4 linked regions of the Sus scrofa genome follow. The protein of the gene in region 3 purifies or fractionates together with the protein of the main gene of each other region. This does not show direct contact. Links are inferred from orthologs where the notes say so. Each region holds a gene or a part of one and is shown on either strand. Other genes may lie near its edges. The genes, in order: STRN3, STRN, MAP4K4 and RAP2C.

Region 1 (4,166 bases), on a different chromosome or scaffold from region 3:
ATGCTGGAGAGGTGGGGGGAATAGACAGAATATATGATAAATTGGATTAAGTGGATGAAATGATGGATGAGTGACTTATTCTTTAACAGCTTTATTTAGGTACAATTCACATGATAAAATTCACACTTTTGAAGTATACATTTCAGTAGTTTTTACCATATTCACAGGGATGGGCAACCATTACCACTGTTTATTTCAGAACTTTCGTCACCACTCCTGCATTTTTGGCATGAGCAATTGAGTATATGATGGTAGCATATTGAAATGGGGACAGACAGGTGTGAGAAGATAAAGGATGGTGAGTTCAGTTTTTTGGCATGTTAAGAGATGGTAATCTTAAGTAAGTATATCAGTATCAAGATGTGAGAATGGATGGTATTATGTAGGGAGAATATGTCATGTAGAGTAGAAAGAGAAGACAAAATCCTGAGGAACTCTGACATTGGGGGCCAGGAGTAGTTAGAGCAAGAGAGGCAATGAAGAAAACTGAGAAGGAGTGGCCTGTGAGGTAGGAGGAAGTACAGGTAAGTGTGGAATCATGAAAGCATACCAGAAGAAGAAGCCATTTTGAAAAGAAGAAAGCAGTCTGCAGTAGTCATTTTCAATAAATAAGAAAAGTCTAATGTGATAGGTTCCTTTTTGTAAATAACAAATAGGTCACCCAGGCTTTGGCCAGACAATATAGATTGGGTTGGGGCTAAGGGGTGAAGGGACTTCTAAGTAACCTTTCAAGGCATACACTATGGATGAAAAGCAATGTGCTAGGAGGGAGGGAGGAAGGGAAGCAAGTTTTTATTAAATTTGATAGAATAGAGTTTATTGGTTATTTTAGCAAGGGTTGTTTTGCTGTGTGATGGTATCGGAGTGATTTCAAGAATAAATGGGAGGTTAGAAAGCATGTTTATTCAATATATTTTTCTACTATTTGGTGGGAGGTTGGTGTAATTGTTTGGAGCATATTTGCTTGCTGTGGTAATTATTCCAAGGAGGAAGAGAATCTGTATAGTAGAAAAACTGTAAACATGAAAGCAAGTTAGTGTTTTAAGGGGAATCCAGAATACCTGGTGGAATTAGCCTGTAATAGGAAGGAGGATAATTCCTTACTTGTATGAGGAAATGTACAGAAGATGGCTTTAGACACTAGTAGCTTTATAGGTTGGCTAGAGGAAGATAGAGGATGGGTTCCTATTTCAGTGCTGCGTTTTTCCAGTGACATTGAGAGAAAATTGTTCATGAGGGAGGGAGGGAGGTTGGGAAGTGGGAGTGTTGCAGAGATGAAGAGAAATATCTGTGGAAGCTGGGAATTTAGTAGAGAAACCACATTGTAAGACAAATGATGTTCAGGGTAATTAGCCACCATTGTCCATCAAATAATGATTGGATGAATAAAATGTAGTATATCCAGGTACTGGAATGCTATTTGGCAATAAGAAGCAATGAAGTACTGATACATGCTCCACGTTAGGCTAAGTGAAAGAAGCCAGTCACAAAAGGCCATTTGTATGAAATGTCCAGAATAGGCAAATGTATAGAAAAAAAATAGATTAGTTGTTGCCCAGGGCTACAGAAAGGCAGAGAGAAAGAATAGGGGAAATAGCTAAAAAGTAATGAAAGTGTGCTAAAATTGATGTGGTGATGATTGCACAACTAAAAACCATTGAATTGACACTTTAAATTGGTGAGTTTTATGGCATAGGAATTATATCTCAATAAAGCTGTTTTTTTTTTTTGTAAGTACATGTTCTTTATAGAAAATTGCAAAACTAAAAAAGTATTGGAAGGGGGGATAAAAATAACTCATAATTCCAGAACTTAGAGGTGGTTACTGTGTACACTTTGGTTTGTCTTATTATACCCATTATGTACATTCTTTATACATAATTATGTGGTAAGTTATCCTTATATACAAAAGCATTTATTTTAAACTTCTTGTAGCTCATTTTTATTTCTTTCTTTCCAGAGCCAAATGTTCTAGCTGGCACTTTAGTTGCTCATACAGATGCTGTCTGGGGTCTTGCTTATAGTGGCATAAAAAATCAATTACTATCTTGTTCAGCAGATGGCACTATTAGGTTATGGAATCCACAAGAAAAATTGCCATGTATTTGCACTTACAACGGAGACAAGGGTAAGGAAATTTTGCCTCTTTGAAAAAAACTAATTTCTTTTAAATTTGGAAGATAGGAGTTCCCGTTGTGGCTCAGTGGTTAACGAATCCAACTAGGAATCATGACGTTGTGGGTTCGATCCCTGGCCTTGCTCAGTGGGTTAAGAATCCACTGTTGCCATGAGCTGCGGTGTAGGTTGCAGATGCAGCTCAGATCCCGCGTTGCTATGGCTCTGGCATAGGCTGGTGGCTACAGCTCCAATTAGACCCCTAGCCTGGGAACTTCCATATGCTGCGGGAATGGCCCTAGAAGAGGCAAAAAGACATAAATAAATAAATAAATAAATAAATTTGGAAGATAGGACAAAGTCAATTTACTGTTTCTTGGCCGCTTGAAGAAATACTAAAAGAACTTTGTGAAGCTGTGATAATCTTTTTTACTCCTAGTCATCTTCAATAAACAAGAAAGGAGCTTTTGCAAGTATATCCTGTAGCTGGGTGCTTTTTTGACCTTTTTCAGGACAACAGAATAGAACTGTCTGTATGTAACAGTAGACAGATGAGACTGCTCAAAGGAACAATAGCTCTTCATCAGCTCTTGTGGCTGTGACTAAAGGGGTCACAGTCTCAAGCATACCTGTGTAAACCATGTGTGATGTGAGCTCACTGGTTGATATGTCTAGCACCCATAACTGGGAGGTGCAAACTGAGTTACACACACAATTTCAAATCTTTTCCTGTCAAAGAAGGCTTTAATTAACCTTGTTGTGACATTTATTTACATAACATGCTTATATTATTTCTTTGATCTTATTTTCCAAGCAGTTTTTTAAAAAATCATATCTTTTTTTTTCATGTCTTTTATTTTTATTTTTTCTTTTTAAAACATTTTTTATAACATTTATGCTTGATTTTCTTGGGTCTCTAGATAGTTTAGTGATTTACTAATTTTTCAGTTATCTAAGCTTTTGAGGTAAAAATTTGGTTAGATATTTGTTTCTTGGCTTCATTCACATAATTAATTCTTACTCAAGATTTCATGTAGTTGTGCATTGCATTTGGACAGTTGAATTTAGTATGTTAAAAGAGGGAAATTGCTGGAATTCCCATCGTAGTGCAGCAGAGGTGAATCCAACTAGGAACCATGAGGTTGCGGGCTCAATCCCTGGCCTTGCGCAGTGGGTTAAGGATCTGATATTGCTGTGAGCTGTGGTATAGGTCGCAGACGTGGCTCGGGTTTGGCGTTGCTGTGGCTGTGGTGCAGGCTGGCAGCTGTAGTTCCAATTCGACCCCTAGCCTGGGAACCTCTATATGCCTTGAGAACGACCCTAAAAAGCAAAAAATTAAAAATTAAAAAAATAAAAGAAATTGCTGCTTGGGTCACGTTAGTATAGTGTATTGCATGAATGGATTTAGAGTCCAAAGCTTCTTTTTCAGATCCAAAAGTTTGACTTTTATTAGCTGCTTGATAAAGCTTACAGGTCTCATTCACCAAACATAGTGATATGGTGAATGCTAATTTATCCTTTTACATTAAGAAATTTAATTGGCGGGTGGGCCCAAAGACTCAATTAGAATTTTTTTTCTCTCTTAGAAGAAGAAAATGCATAGGAGAACAGTAACTCTTATGCATATCTACTCTTACTTTGAGTCCTCTAGTTATATTTTTCTTATAATGTTAAGTAGAATATTATAAATATTTTTAATAATTGAGAGAAAGTTAACTATTATTATATCTCACCATTCCTAACACAATTGCTTTTTCATTATTAACATTATTTCAAAAATATTTTAATTCCCTTTTCTTAATAGAAAGTAGAGATTTTTCAGTTACTGTGTTTACACTGTTTCTCTTTGGGCTGCTTTCAGAACATGGAATACCTACATCAGTTGACTTTATAGGCTGTGATCCAGCTCATATGGTGACCTCATTCAACACTGGTAGTACAGTAATTTATGATTTAGAAACATCACAGTCGTTGGTGATGCTTTCATCACAGATAGAGTCTGGTAAGTTTACTGGTAAGATTGAAACATTTAAAAAGGTTATTACACATAG
Region 2 (4,896 bases), about 51 Mb from region 3:
TACTCCAACTAGACAGCATGTTTGAGAGCATTTAGCACAATGTCTCCTACACTAAAAAATCTTTAAAATATTATGATTTATATTCTATCTTCAATTTCTTTCACAAATATAAAGCTCAGGAATAATCTTGACCATTTTTTTCCCATAAATTACCTACTCTCATTTGAATGGTGCTGGGAAGGTGGGAGAGAGATTGCCAAAAATAAAAAGAGAGTTTTATGTTAACAAAGATGGACAAGGGGGCAAGAAATGACGAATAAGTTTTTGGCATAATGTGGCCAGTTCCTTACTCCCAAGATCTGAAGGACGGAGGATATGGTGTAAGCAAGCCAGGGAGATGAGAGCTTGGGTTGCCTTTCACAACTCTGCCCAGGCAACTTGAAAGAGCAGGACTGACAGGTTCCTGAAGAGAAAAATCAGACCTAATCTTAAAAGTATTTTTGTTGACTCTGGTATTGACTTAAGAAGAGATTTAAAAATTAAAAAGATGATACCAACTGTTCCAAATTTCATTACCATTCATTCAATTCTTATTTCCTACTAGAAAGATTCTGATGGAAAAAAGAAGGGATATGGTCGAATTTAATGATGTTGATATAAAGAAATTATTTTTAAAATATATATTCAATTATACTAATAAGGAGGTCAAAAACCACAGATTCCTGGAAACTCCCTCCTCCCAAAATGCCTATTTGCTCTGTTTAAAAACTATGCAGGAATTCCTGTCATGGCGCATCGGAACGAATCCGACTAGGAACCACGAGGTTGTGAGTTCGATCCCTGGCCTCGCTCAGTGGGTTAAGGATCCGGTGTTGCCATGACCTGTGGTATAGGTCATAGACATGGCTTGGATCTGGTGTGGCTGTGGCTCTGGCATGGGCCAAAAGTTACGGCTCTAATTAGACCCCTAGCCTGGGAACCTCCATATGCCGCAGGTGTGGCCCTCAAAAGACAAAAGACCAAAAAAAAAAAACCAAAAAACAAAAAACTATGGCACATTTTCTAAGTTTCTCCATGGATGCTTAATTGAACTGGAGCACAAACCAAGATACTGTAAAAATGTAGTGCCCTTAGTATAAGCACCAATGGGAAACCTACTTGAAGTTTAACATTTGCCATAAATAACCCAGTAAGTAGTGTGTGTGTATATATTGGGGCAGGGAGGGGGTAAGGTAGAGAGGGCAAAACTGAGGAGTAACTACAGTTACTCAATAAATACGCATTCAATAAATACGCTGAATAAATAAATGATGAAACTGAAGTTCAGAAAAGTTAAAGGATTTCCTCAAGGTCAAAGAGCAGGCAGCAAGCACAGCTTATACTGTAACCCCTTCTGCTTGCTCTTTCCACAACCACTTGCACTACACCAAAGCAGCCTGTTACAGCACATGATTCTATTTAACATGATTGTTTCTTCTTTCCTCTTAAGTGCCAAAGAAAATACATGGTACCAAAAAAAGTGACACAGTGGGTAGCACTTTAACTTCAAGTGTTTCACCAACCAAAACTATACTCAGATTTCACAAGCATACAGGATTAGCCAGAAAGACAGAAAGGCAGAGCCACTCGTAGTTCTTTAAATTCCTTGTGAAATTAGTGTATGCCTTGGAAGTTTTAAAAACAGCCACTGAAACCTACTTACCAGTTCAGAATGGCCTGCAAAGTATCAGCCTCACTTTCATTCTTCCAAGATCCCACAATAGCTCCTCCCTGGATATACTTTATCTTGTAGATTATGCAAGGAAATGTAACCAACTTTGAAGCTCCTTTTAGTTCCTTTTAAAGTACAAGTCAGTCTCACAAAACCCTGAACATAAAATTAACCCTTGGGAAGTTTTAGATTCTGAGAACAAGAAACCATCTCTGAACCATTATCTGACTGTGATTATCTATCTAGATTCTTCATTCAAAATCCACGAGTCTGAAATATCTAAAAGAAACGCGGGATGGGATGAGGAAGAAGTAAAAGAAGAAACATTTACATATATAAAAAGGGAGCAGATATTCCTAGTAACACTTTGACCCAACGGCAGCTTCTTGCCTTAAAGTCAAGGCCTCACGGATACAACTTCTGTTGTCTTCTCTGATCGCCTTCCTCACAGAGAGGCGCCAACTGTCAATACCTTTTCCAGGCATCTTCTCTAGACCTAGGAGGGCCACTCACTAGGATAGGGGATGATTTGCTCATCTCTCAAAACTACTGTCAGCCCAATTAGTAAACTGAAAGGGAAGACCTAAAATGTGGAATGGCGAGAGAGTTCAAACAAGCCTGAGAGTTAAGAGTGGGAAGGAGCAGACGAAAAGGTGCGGGGAGGGTAAACAACGCATGGGGGGGGGAGCTGGGAGTGGGAACCCGGGTCGAGGAAGTGGGGTCACCTAAAGGCAAAGGTGAAGGGAGGAAGGGGATGAGGTTCTGGGTGGGATGGGCTGGAGCAAAGGGGGAGGGGACGAGCGAGCGGAGCGGGGGAGGGGGAAGGGTCCGGGGCGGGGCGGAAGAGAGCGGAGAGGCGGGATGAAGACGGCCAGGCCGGGAGGGTCTTTACCTGCAGCTCCGCCCGCTCTACTTCCCACTGGGCTCTCTCCACTTCGAAGCGGGCCCACTCGTGCTGAAGGAAGTGCAGGATTCCCGGGAGGCTGTACTGGGCTCGCGCCGCCCCCGCCGCAGCCGCCCCGTCGCCGGCCGCGGCAGCCTCCGCCAGAGGCCCGAGACCCTTGGCACCGCTGGCGCCCGGGTGGTTGTTGCTGAAGAAGACGCCGGGACCCGCCTGCTCGTCCATGGCGGCCGCAGGAACCCGGGGAGCTGCCCAGGCGCCCAGCAGCTGAGGCAACGGCGGCGGCCAGCAGCGTCTCCTCCTCCCTCCGCCGCTCCCCGCCCACACCCCAGTCAGCAGGGAGCAGCCGCCTGGGCGCGGGGGCCGGCCGAGCTCGGGACGGGCCGGGAAATGGGTCAACTGCGGTGCGCGGGCGGCGCGGGGCTTGCTGGGAAATGTAGTCGCGGGGCGTGGTGCCGGCGAGCACCGCCCGGGCTGCCTGAGGGGTTGCGACCGGCTGCGGCTCCACCGCGGCCCCGCCCCCGGGCCCGCCCCAGCCCATGGCGGAGAAGGGGCGGCCCCCGGCGGGGAGCGCGGGTTTCCTCTTGGTTAAGCAGGGGCTGGCTGGCGGTCCTCCAGCCTCCCTAGCACGCGGAAGTTCTTGGGCGGCGCTCACTGTGGCGCGCATACACACACACACACAAGGCGCTCACTGTTGCAGACACACACACACACACACACACACACACGGAAGTTACCGCGCCGAAATGCCAGCCTAAGCTGCACATCTCCTACGGCTTCCTGGTAGTTCTGTTAAGAAACAAGCTCAAAGCAAGCTTCGCCGGTCCGACCCCATGGCCCGGGATTCTCTAGCCAGCACGCTCGGACCTCTCCCTTCTGCTCTGTCTAGAGTGATTCTCTGACCCAAGACACTCCACTTCTGTCCATCTCCTTATCGCGGTCGTTCCTGCCTTTTTTCTCGCTAGAGGTTCAGTCAAACCTGTTGCCTGATCACTTTTCATTTAGAAGGAACTAATCATCTCTCTGTCCTGAACGCAACACAGCAGCTTTCTGTTTCTTGCAATTTTTGGTTTGGTGACACCACATCTAAAACAGGGCTCTGCTTCACCTCCTTTATAGCTTGCAGTAAATCCTGTAAACGTTACAAATATCCAAGGCTCTTTTATTTCGAACTCATTTTTCCTTATCCCTGAGCAGTCGGTACACATTTCAACAAATATTTGACTGTAAGTTATCTCATTGGGGATATAAAGATAAATGACACAGTTCCTGTCTTCAAAGGCAGACTGGCAACTATACAATCAATTCTCGCAATGCCCTAAAGTTACACTATTTAAAAGAACAAAATCCCTTTCTACTCCCTAGAGCTATCTTAGGTATCCGGGCACCTCTCCTTTTTCACTTGTCCGGTTCCCAGTTTCTTCCACGTTTCACTTGCAATCTGGCAATAGTATTAATCTACCAAAGGCCCATCAAAGTCCTTTCAAGTGTTTCTCTCTAAATGTTATCCTTCTCCCAAGTTCTTGAAATTATGTCACTTATTAATTCACACTACAATGATAATGAAAGGAAGGGACCTGAAAAAATTTAACAAGTGAAAATGAAATTAAGCACTTATTTTGTCCCTACAAAAAGTTATTTGTAGTTCTTTTGTGGGATGGGCTTCTGGGATATCAAACCTAATGGCCATGGAAAAAAATATAAAAATATAGGCTAGTGAGTGACATGTCAGGGAAGGACATCCTGTCCCTGTATTCCCCCTCCCCCTCTTCCCACTGCTACTTGTGGAAAGGACAGGAAACACATTGTATCTGCTCTGGTTGCAAATAAAGATGGCTAGCTCTCTTCTCCCAGTTATTGAATGTTTCTGCTTTATGAATTCATTCTTTATTGTAATAAAAGTTTGATCCAGGCCTGGCCAACTCCCTGTGTCATAAATTATTTTGGCTGTAAGTATCCTTTGAGATACTGCCCAGTCCTCTCATTTTACGGTTTGGGATTCTAAAGAAGTTTAACTTTTTCACAATAAGACTTTGAGTGAGTGGCGCAGGCAAAACTAGAAATGAGAATTACTGATTGTTAGTTCATCAATCTTTCCATTAACAGATTATCTCCTCCCTTACTTATCAAATCTATCAGAGTATTGAGGGGACAGTAATGCAACAATGGCGTATTTTTTCATCTGAGGGATTTAAGTAATCTTACAAGATTGCAATTTTTTGTTTTTGAATGTTAAAAGTTTTTTTTTCCCCCTCTAATAGAAAACATGTCTTGAAGTTCCCTTGTGGTGCACTGGTTTAAGGATCCTGCATTGTCATTGCAGCAGGTTGGGTTGCTGCTATGG
Region 3 (4,801 bases):
AAAGTGAAGGCACTTCCCAGGATAGTAAGTAAACATGGATGAGATCATCAGGAAAATGTTAACACCGAACCTTTCTTTGATAGGAAGGAATTCATGGGGGGGGGGGGGGTAAGAACAGCATTGTGACTATCTAAAAAACAAAAAAAGGCACATCCTGAAGTATCTTTGGGTGAAACAGTATCTGGGCTTTAAGATAATGGGAGGAGAGGGGAGGCAGACAAAACCAGATTAATCACGTGCTGGTAACTGTTAAACTGGTGCTCTCTCTTTGGCATCAGTTTCAAACTCTCCGTAATAATAAAATAACGGCAGGGCAGGCGAGAAAAAAACCTCAGGCACTCTTGCTCCGGATTGCATGCCACTGATGCACAGATTTCTTAATTCCTCAGGTTTGCATAATATGAGAGTTTCTCCTTAGCTACACTGACTGTAGTGACACTGTGCCACTGCCACCATGCCCAACACCTCCCAAAGATCGTGCTCAGCAAATGTACCTCAAAAGCTTGGGGAAAAGGGGAACCACAAGAGAGAAGTACGAGGGGAAGCCCTTGGCTATGAACCTGCCCCAACTGCCCCCATAAAGAATTCCTGACTCTTGGGAGTTCCCGTCGTGGCGCAGTGGTTAACGAATCCGACTAGGAACCACGAGGTTGCGGGTTCAATCCCTGCCCTTGCTCAGTGGGTTAAGGATCCAGCATTGCCCTGAGCTGTGGTGTAGGTTGCAGACACGGCTCGGATCCTGCGTTGCTGTGGCTCTGGCGTAGGCCAGTGGCTACAGCTCCAATTTGACCCCTAACCTGGGAACCTCCATATGCTGCAGGAGTGGCCCAAGAAATGGCAAAAAGACCAAAAAAAAAAGAATTCCTAACTCTTAAACCAATGAGGACACATTCAGGTCTCATTCTTTATTCTAACGATTAAAAAAAAAAAAAAAAAAAAAAAAAAAGGACAGTCAGCTTCTAATTTACTTCACCAGCACTCACACCCACCTTGACCCGAGAAGACACAAACAATCCAACTACTGTGTAACCAGGTCAAAACAAGTTCTGGCTAACTCACTTGGAAGACAACACTCAACACTCAGATTAAGCCAGAAAAACTGGGTTAGAAAAAAACTACCGGTGCTTAAACAAACACTGGGGCTCCGGAAAATGTTTTTAAGCCAGTGAGCAGACCACTCGGGGAGTTGCAACACAATCTTTTCCATAATTTTCCAAAGGCTTCCAAATTCAGTTGAGCCCAGCGGGCTGCGTTAACAGGGCTCCCTTTCAAATTCAAAAATCTGGCTGAGGCCCCAACTGTTAACCAACAAAACACATGCTAATTCACTAGAGATCACCTAAGAATACAGACTCAAGTTCAGGCCACAGGCCAGTACACAACCCAGGCCAGTACACAGCCCAGGCCAGGGGAAGCTAGGGCTGGGGAGAGGCCTTGGAGAAGCAGATAAGCCCTATTCACAAAGCAGAAAAGAGACAATAGGATCCACACTTAATTTGGCCTAAGAAAACGGTCTACAGTCAGCTTCCAACCCCCCCACACACACTCCCTCCCCCCCCTGTCCATTTTTAATGAGACAATGACAATTCTTCACAGCCAACCACAAAGCCCTGCTTCATAAGATATTTTTTTTCTGTCCCAATCTTGTACCCAGCTACAACACTCTAACAGGCTACAAAACACCCCCAGTGCAGATAACTTTGAGAAAGCTGTTCAGTAATAAGAAACAAATCAGGACTGGGGAGAATTTCACATTTGTTTCAAATTCTCAAGGCTTCCCCCTCAATTACCTACAGCTAACCCTCATTTCCAGAACAGCAGGGCTAGTCATATCTGGTGTCCAGGAAGTCTTCAGATTTGTTAGTTTCATTTACTGTTGGGGGCAAGTGGGGGGAGGGGGTGCTGTTAGAGAAAGACCTGGGGTGGGTGTGAAATCTGGGCATCCTCTTTGCTCAGAGGCTCTGCCTCTTTTCTGTTTCAATTACACACCTGTCAAACAGGTTATTCCTGGAATTTAGAGTGCATAATCCTCACACTGTAATTCTTCCTGCTCCTATTGCCCAAACACACATCCCTCCTGACTCCCCAAAACATGTACCCGTCAGTAGAATGTATGGTAGTTATGGAGTACTCCCAGGTAACACCACCAAACTCTGCTCCTCATTGAGCGCCTGGCCAGGATTCAAACGAGGAAACACGAAGACGATTCTCAAGGAGGCCAAAGCAGTGGTTTAGGATAATCACAGGCGAGGCCTGCCTATCCAGAATTTTAATTAACACACAAACTCAGAAGGCCAGATTTGGGAGAGACAGGGGGGAAAAAAAAATGTAGATTGATGCAAAAATGCTTTCCCATTTCCTTGAAAAAAAAAAAAGAAAAAGAAAAAAAAAAAAAGGTGCATGCCTAAGAGTGGAGCTTATTTCCTTATCTGAGAGCCAAGAAATGAGGTCTTTTAAGGCCAGTCTGAATATAAACTCTGCTGAAAACAGCGGGACGGCGAGGCCGGACCCCTCTTCCAACTTCGGCTGAGCCTCCGGGCGGCGGCGTGTCCAATCACCCTCCCCGTCGTCCCCGGATCAGAAGTTTCAACCCGTCCCCGGGAAACAAAGGAGGCGCCTGCACCGACCTTATAGACTTGTCCATAGGTGCCATTTCCCACCACTTCCACCAGCTCGAAAATCCCAGCCGGATCCTAAGGAAGAGAGGAGGATGGGTGAGCGTTGGAAAGCAGCACAACAATGAATAAAAGAAGCGGGGCAGCGGGAGAGAAAGGGCGGTGACCGAGGAGGTGGGCTTCGCCCGGCGCGAGGTGGCCGGCAACTGGGGGCCGCGATAGGGGCCCGGGGCGCGCGGGGTCGGGGTCCGGGCGGCGGCGCAGGCGGAGGGTCACGCCCCGGACCCCGCACACGCCGACTCGGGCAGACAAAGGGGCCGCCGCGCCCGCGGATCTGCCCACGGCGGCGCCCGAGCGCCCGGCCGGCCAGGGCGCGGCCCCGCTCCCGGCTCCCAGCGCCCCGCTCCCGGTCCCCCGGCCCCGCGGCGGCCACTCACCCGAAGGGAGGACAGGTCTATGTCCACCAGACTTTTCGCGGGGGAATCGTTCGCCATTTTCCCTTCTCGTCACCCCCAAATCGACCACAATCAATTCGTCTCTGGTGTGTCTCTCGGAGTCGCAGGCCCGGCCGGGTGGCGCGGGCCCGCGGGCGCGGCCGGGGGCGGCAGGCGGGAGCAAGCTCGGGCGCCGGGCGGCGGGCGGCGGCGGCGCTCACTCCATGGCCGGGGCGGCCGGCAGGCCCCCGGGCGTCGCCCGCGCCTCAGGCCCCGGCCCCGCGCCCCGCCGCGCGCCTGCACGAGCGGCCCGGAGCAGGGGCCGCGGCGCCGCCGAGAGTGGAGCCCGGAGCGCGAGGCCGCCAGACAAAGATGACCAGGAGGCGGAGGCGGAGGCGGGCGCGAGGCGGGGGGCGGGGGGCGGTGGCGGCGGGGAGGAGGAGAAACGGGACACCGAAAAGAGATTCTGAGGAGAGCCAACAGCTCCCCCTTTCCTCCTCCGGCAGGAAAAGCGGGCGGAAGCGCGCTCGCGCCTGGAGCCGGGCCGGGGGGGGGGGTCCGCGGCGCGGCGTGAATATTCAACAGGGGTGGGGCCCGGACAAAGGCCGCGCGGGAGCCGGGGTCTCGGGGCGGCGCGGGGGAGGGGGAGCACGCCCTTCCAGCACCCGCGACAAAGGCAAAGCGACCCGGACCCCCGGGCGCAGGGCCGGCCGACTCCTCCCTCCCGGAGCCCCGCCCCGCCGCGCCCGGCTCCGCCGCGATCCCCGCGGAGGAGGGTCCTCCAGGCGCCCTCGCCCCCGCTCTTCCCATCCCCTCCCCCACCCCCGGGTTCTAGTCGCTTAAGACCCTCATTTCCGGTTTCCCTACCTGGTTTCCTTGTCCTTTCTCTCCTTTTCCAGGCTACACCGAGGACCTGGTTAGGTTCGGGATTCACGGAGCATCATTTGTTTTGGCTGCCCGGTCCGGAGACTTTCGCTGGAAACTGAATCTCAAACAGCTCCTCTAATTGCCTTGTGTTGAGTACCTCGCTCAGTAAAGGTGAGCACCGTATTGGGAGCCAGAAGTGTTAACCCAAGTTTAGTGCCTAGAGATCACTGAGGATCCATCAAAGCTGGCTGCTTCCGGCAGCTTTGGCAGCCAGGCAGCAGTTAGGCAGTTTCATCCTATTAAACAAGAATATATGGTCTGCCCAACGGTCATTTGTGTCACATCACTCCACTGACAAAAACTTTCCGTGGCTTCCTATTACCTGCCAGACTGTGAATACAAGTTCTCAAACGTGAGCGCACCTTTGGAAAAACACTGACCGCCGACCCCACCTCCGGAGTCTGCAACGGATCACACTTTGAGAACTGGAGCCGCACTGGATGAAAACCCAAGGCCCTTCCAGAAAGGCTTCACAAACACGACCATCATTATCTACCAGTTCTTGGTTTACATGTAGTATCAATTTAATCTCTCCTTTAGCCCTAGGATGATGTTATCCTCATTTTAGAGAAGAGGAAACTCAAGTACTGAAAGAGAAGGAATTTTTCTAAATTCCTTAAAGGCATTTAAGCCTGGAAGTGGCACGGGGATTCTCACTAGCCTATCCCCAAAATCCAAATCTCTGACTCAGCCAAATTAGTCTTCTACCCAGAATGTTTAGCACTCTCCTGCCTCCCAACAGTTTGGTTTCCAAGATTTTCCACTATTGAGAATTTCTCAACAGGCTAAAATATCTTCAGGGAGTCCTAGAATCCATTGGTTAGG
Region 4 (4,678 bases), on a different chromosome or scaffold from region 3:
CACATGCCCCAAGTAAGTAAAATGCCTAGAAGGCAGGTCTTGAGTTCTTCATCTTGCAGCACTAAGATAGAGAAATCTGGTTGAGAGACTTAGGTGAGAACAGAGGGGAGGAAGGGACGTAGACGCAGAGGAGTTATCTGTGCAACAGATAATCGGCTCCAAATAATTTTCTTTCCAAAGTGCTCTATCTGCCCGAGATTATCTTTGAAACGTTGTTCTGCTGAGTACATTAACCAAGACCTGGTGAGGTGAACGAGCAACTTCAGATGGTTATATGCCAGGCTAAATATACACTGGCTGACATGTCTTTTTCACTTCTCTTTCACTCGAAAATAACTTTAAAATATTTGTGAACGGTAGTGCCTTTAGTCCTCGCTATAGAAACAACTCGATGCTTTTCCGTGCCAGGAGAAACCTCAAAAATGCGCCATGTCTAACTTTCAAAAGCAAAACACAGTCATTTACGCAAGCAAACCAGAAGTAAATGTAGTTTACCACACCCCCTTCTAACAAATTACAAGACTTGGTTACCTGAAAAGACTGTTGATTAACCAGACTATAAACCAGGATGAAACCTTGGCCGTTTTTGATGTAGAGATCTCTCATGGAGGCAAACTGCTCAGTTCCTGCGGTGTCCAGAATTTCCAGCACGGAGGGGGAAGAGTCCACTTCGATCTCTTTGCGGTAGAAATCTTCAATGGTGGGGTCATATTTCTCAATGAAAGTCCCGGTGACAAACTGCACAGTAAGGGCAGATTTGCCAACCCCTCCGCTCCCTAACACCACTACCTTGTACTCCCGCATGAGTCTCTCCTTCACCAACTCCTACCAGAGGGAGGGAAAAATAACACCCCGCTCGCGGCGGCGCGGCTCGGGGAGGCGGAAGGTGGGCGGAAATCTGCGAACCCGGGAGGAGAGCGCAGAGCAGCCGAGGGCCCGACGGGGGAAGAAGAGGAAGTTAAAGGAGGGGGAGGGGAAAGAGCGAAGTGTCGGGGTGGGTGGGGATGGGATGGTAATGCCCTTCCTATAGGAACCGGAGCCCAGGCAGGGGGCGTGGGGAGAAGGCGAGCCCCGAAAAGCTGGGAGGCTGGGGAGGCGACACGCGCCCCCCGCCCCGGGAGGGAAGGGGTGGGCGCCGCAGGACAGACGGGGGGCCCCCCGCGGAAGGCGGGCGTCCGAGGAGCCCGCGGCCCGGGGCTGCCCCGCGCCCCTCCCCCGCCCTTCACACAAAGGGGCCCAGGGACCCCGCTTCCTGCTCGCGCCGCCGAGCCAGCCCAGGCCTGTGGGCTCCGCTCCAGTCGCTGCCGCCCGGGCGGGTCTCTGGGCCGCGGCTCCCGCGGGCGTCGTCCGGCCTGTGATGGGGGGGTGGGGGGCGGAGAGGGCGCGCGTTACCCGCCGGACCCCCGCCCGCCCCCGTCGGGCAGCCCGGGCGGCCGCCTCCCCCGGCTCCCACCCGGGCCCGGCCGCCCCCGCTTACCCTGCCGTCCGCACCCGCCCGGCCGCCCGGGAGGCTGTGTCACGCCAAGGCCATGGCCACTGGCCGGCTCCTCGGTCTCACCGCCGCCCCTGCGCTGCGGCTCGCGGAGGGGAAAGGGGCGGGGGCCGTCCGGCGGCGGCGGCGGCAGCGGCGGCGGCCGCTGGGACTCCAGGCGAACCCACCTCTTTTTTTTTTTTTTTTTTTTCTCACCCTCCCCCCACCCCCCCACCCCCAGCACACACCCGGAAGGGTTTCCCTGACACACTGGTGGAGGTGCCCCAGTTCCCTGAGACGGGACGGGATCACTTCCGGTGGGGAAAGTCCCACCTCTCCCGGGGCGAGCCGGGTGGCGCTGGGGCCGCGCCCTGCTGAGCGAGTCGGCCCAGGACGGTTTCGGGTCGGGGCTACGGCCTTGGCAAAGGGCCTGTCCGAGAACCTCCGGCGCCCTTCCTTTCTCTGCCTGCCCGCAACTGCTGTTCCTGCTGCTGCTGCTGCTGCTGCTGCTGCCGCTGCTGCTGCGGACAGTCCCACCCCCGAGCCCGCGGAAGCCCCTAGGAGTCTCAGCAGCCCCCGGCCCGGCCTGAGGACTTGATCCGCTGGTTGGCGGAGCTAAAGATCCGCACAACGCCTATCATCCCTGGACCAGAAGTCGCAGGGAAAATAAAACGGCCGAGAAAGTTGATGCTCTTTGCTGGTATTTTCATGCACTTGCTATTTTTCTAAGAAACGCGTGCACATTAGCCTTCGACTTCACGAATAGCTCGGATTTCATATGTGGTGTGTTTTATTTAGCTGTGCCTGACAGTTAACGCACACACACTCGGTACTTTTATCATCCGGTAAATCTGCCTTGACTCCACCAGCAAATGCCGAAGCCACTCCTTTCTTTCTTATCGCCAGGCTCGAAAACCAAAGGGATTAGGAGTAGCCTTTATGGGACTCTAACTCAGCTTTGTCCCTTTTGGAGTCCCCAGGCTTCGCAGCGGGGAAGAGTTGATTGGAAACTGTTTAGGCCTGCACGCTAACTTCTTTGAATCTTTTCATTATCTGCAGGCACAGCAATTTGCATGGCTGGCTCTTCCAAGTTAAAGTTTGTTTTAAGTCTTTGAAATTCAAAAGCAGAGGACTTAGTGCTAACCACTAAGTTTCTATTTTTAGATAAAATTGTTACTTTTTACATATCTTACCCTCTGCTAACTTTCTATTTGTAAACTTTGTGTCCGATCCACAGAGCCCCAGGGTCAGAAGCCTAGGTTATATTTTAGGAATGTCACTCCTTTTCTGATTCTAGCATGCACCCCGACGCCTGAAAGTCAGTGACCAGTCGAGTTAAAGCGACCCCAAATCCCTTACGTGGAAGCCTTAATGGCCTGACTGTATCAAAAGGGATTTGTTACCAAACCCAAATTGTGTAACATTAGAAAACAGGCAAATTACAGTCGTGTGAAATCCCACTGTCTCTCCCTGGGTGCTCCCCAATGTCACTTACAGTATCCAAGGGACAGTTACGTTCACTTTCTCCTCAGCCTAGGGCTGGTGCAATCTGTCCAGCGAAGTTCCCAGCTCTGGCTCCAGCTGGCCCGCGTCCCGCCTGATATCTGAGGCACTGCCCTCTGCTGGAAGAGGTTTGGTCTATGAATTATGAGTCTTCCCCATAGGTCACTGCTCCTTCCACACGTGCTGTTGCCGGATTTGGAGCTCTGCTGCCCATCTCCCTGTCTAGCTGTCTCCAGACTGTCTGGGGGGGGGGGGGATGGGGGGGGGGAAATCCATAGCCCTGTACCAGCCCTGCTTGGAACTGAGTCTGGAAATTCCTCCTCTGATCCAGCAATTAGTGTTGGGCAATTGTGGCAAGTCTGTGCTCTGTCACTAAACTGTCAAAACAGGCTGCTCTTCTTTTTGAGGTGGTCCCACTTGTTGGCAACTCTAATATCTCTGAATGTGTTGGCCAAACTATTTTGGAGAGAATTCTTTGTTTCTCCACACAGTGAAACATACTCCTTACCGAAGTACAGAGTCCTACTGGGACACTCTTATTGGCTACAGAATTGGCAAATGTCACACTCATTCTGATGACCCTTCTAAACTTTCTTAGAAAGTGTATTCATTACAGCAGCATTTTAGGAAAGCACACACTTGGAAGTAACTTAAGTCTCCTTCAACAGATGATTTAAAAAAGTAATGTGTGTACACACACACACGGAAACACTTGCAAGTAACCTAAATGTCCTTTGATAGACGATGTAAAAAATAATGTACACACACACACTTGGAAACACTCGAAAGTCACCTAAACATCCTTCACTAGATGATTTAAAAAATCATGCACGCGCACACACACACACTCACAAAATAGGAGACCATGCAGCTATTTAAAAGAGAAAAAGTAGATTTGTAAGTGCTGTTATGAAAAGACGGTCAAGGTATATTGTGAGGATGAAAAAAGTTAGATGCTGAGCAAAGAGATAGTTGCTCCCATTTATGTAAAATATGTGAGTGTGTGCAATATGTAATTACATAGCCATTAAAATCTGAAACAAAGGCATTAATTATTGGTGAGGGGTATTCTGAAAGGACTTTGATTTCTCCATATCATTTTAATTTCTAAGCCATGATCAGGTATTACTGGGGAAAAGAGGAATAAATATAATTTTATAATATTTTTAGAGAAGAAATATAAAATGTTGCTCATCGTTTCCTCCACCCCCCCCCAATATCCTGACTGTCTGGGGTCAGTGGGCAGGTCTGCCCAATTTAAACTCCCTCCTCCTGCCCATCCTGTCCTCCCAAACATCTCTATACTTAGAAAAGTATTTTCACATACATTATCTCATTAGACTCCAGTTGTTCACCCGTTTACTTTTATTAGGCAATGAGAGTATAAACACCAATTAGAAGAGGACAGCCCAGCAGTTGAGAGCCATGGGCCCCGAAGCAAGGCAGACAGGCCTTTCAAGGGCAACTCCTCCACCTCCTAGCTGTGGGACCTCGAGCAAGTGATTTCACTCCTCTGAACCTCAAACTCCTCACCTGGAAAATGGAGCTAATCATTTACCGTGGGAATGTAATGAATTATTACATGTAAAATGCTTAGCACAGTCCCTTGCTCATTATGAACCATCGAGAAATGCTAGCTATTTGGTTTTTATTTTAAAGATTTAACAAAGGTTTTTTTTTTTTTAAGAACAGCAAACACGGAGG

Evidence for each region.
Region 1: the proteins of MAP4K4 (region 3) and STRN3 purify together in Homo sapiens (affinity purification with mass spectrometry; 4 studies listed by BioGRID and IntAct, with this or other methods). This does not show direct contact. The link is inferred for Sus scrofa from reciprocal best matches to the Homo sapiens genes MAP4K4 and STRN3.
Region 2: the proteins of MAP4K4 (region 3) and STRN purify together in Homo sapiens (affinity purification with mass spectrometry; 4 studies listed by BioGRID and IntAct, with this or other methods). This does not show direct contact. The link is inferred for Sus scrofa from reciprocal best matches to the Homo sapiens genes MAP4K4 and STRN.
Region 4: the proteins of MAP4K4 (region 3) and RAP2C purify together in Homo sapiens (affinity purification with mass spectrometry; 3 studies listed by BioGRID and IntAct, counting the BioPlex papers as one, with this or other methods). This does not show direct contact. The link is inferred for Sus scrofa from reciprocal best matches to the Homo sapiens genes MAP4K4 and RAP2C.

Annotation. Positions count from the first base shown.
Region 1 is NC_010449.5:68,561,240-68,565,405, forward strand, and holds part of STRN3 (striatin-3), read left to right. Parts: intron 1-1,960; coding exon 1,961-2,128; intron 2,129-3,976; coding exon 3,977-4,117; intron 4,118-4,166. UniProt on the Homo sapiens protein: Calmodulin-binding scaffolding protein which is the center of the striatin-interacting phosphatase and kinase (STRIPAK) complexes.
Region 2 is NC_010445.4:103,247,851-103,252,746, reverse strand, and holds the start of STRN (striatin), read right to left. Parts: upstream 2,922-4,896; 5' UTR 2,778-2,921; coding exon 2,544-2,777; intron 1-2,543. UniProt on the Homo sapiens protein: Calmodulin-binding scaffolding protein which is the center of the striatin-interacting phosphatase and kinase (STRIPAK) complexes.
Region 3 is NC_010445.4:52,646,215-52,651,015, forward strand, and holds the start of MAP4K4 (mitogen-activated protein kinase kinase kinase kinase 4), read right to left. Parts: upstream 3,267-4,801; 5' UTR 3,110-3,266; coding exon 3,053-3,109; intron 2,715-3,052; exon of another isoform or gene 2,694-2,714; coding exon 2,628-2,693; exon of another isoform or gene 2,431-2,627; intron 1-2,430.
Region 4 is NC_010461.5:108,345,353-108,350,030, forward strand, and holds the start of RAP2C (ras-related protein Rap-2c), read right to left. Parts: upstream 3,081-4,678; 5' UTR 2,967-3,080; intron 1,567-2,966; exon of another isoform or gene 1,478-1,566; intron 1,353-1,477; 5' UTR 805-1,352; coding exon 532-804; intron 1-531. UniProt on the Homo sapiens protein: Small GTP-binding protein which cycles between a GDP-bound inactive and a GTP-bound active form. May play a role in cytoskeletal rearrangements and regulate cell spreading through activation of the effector TNIK.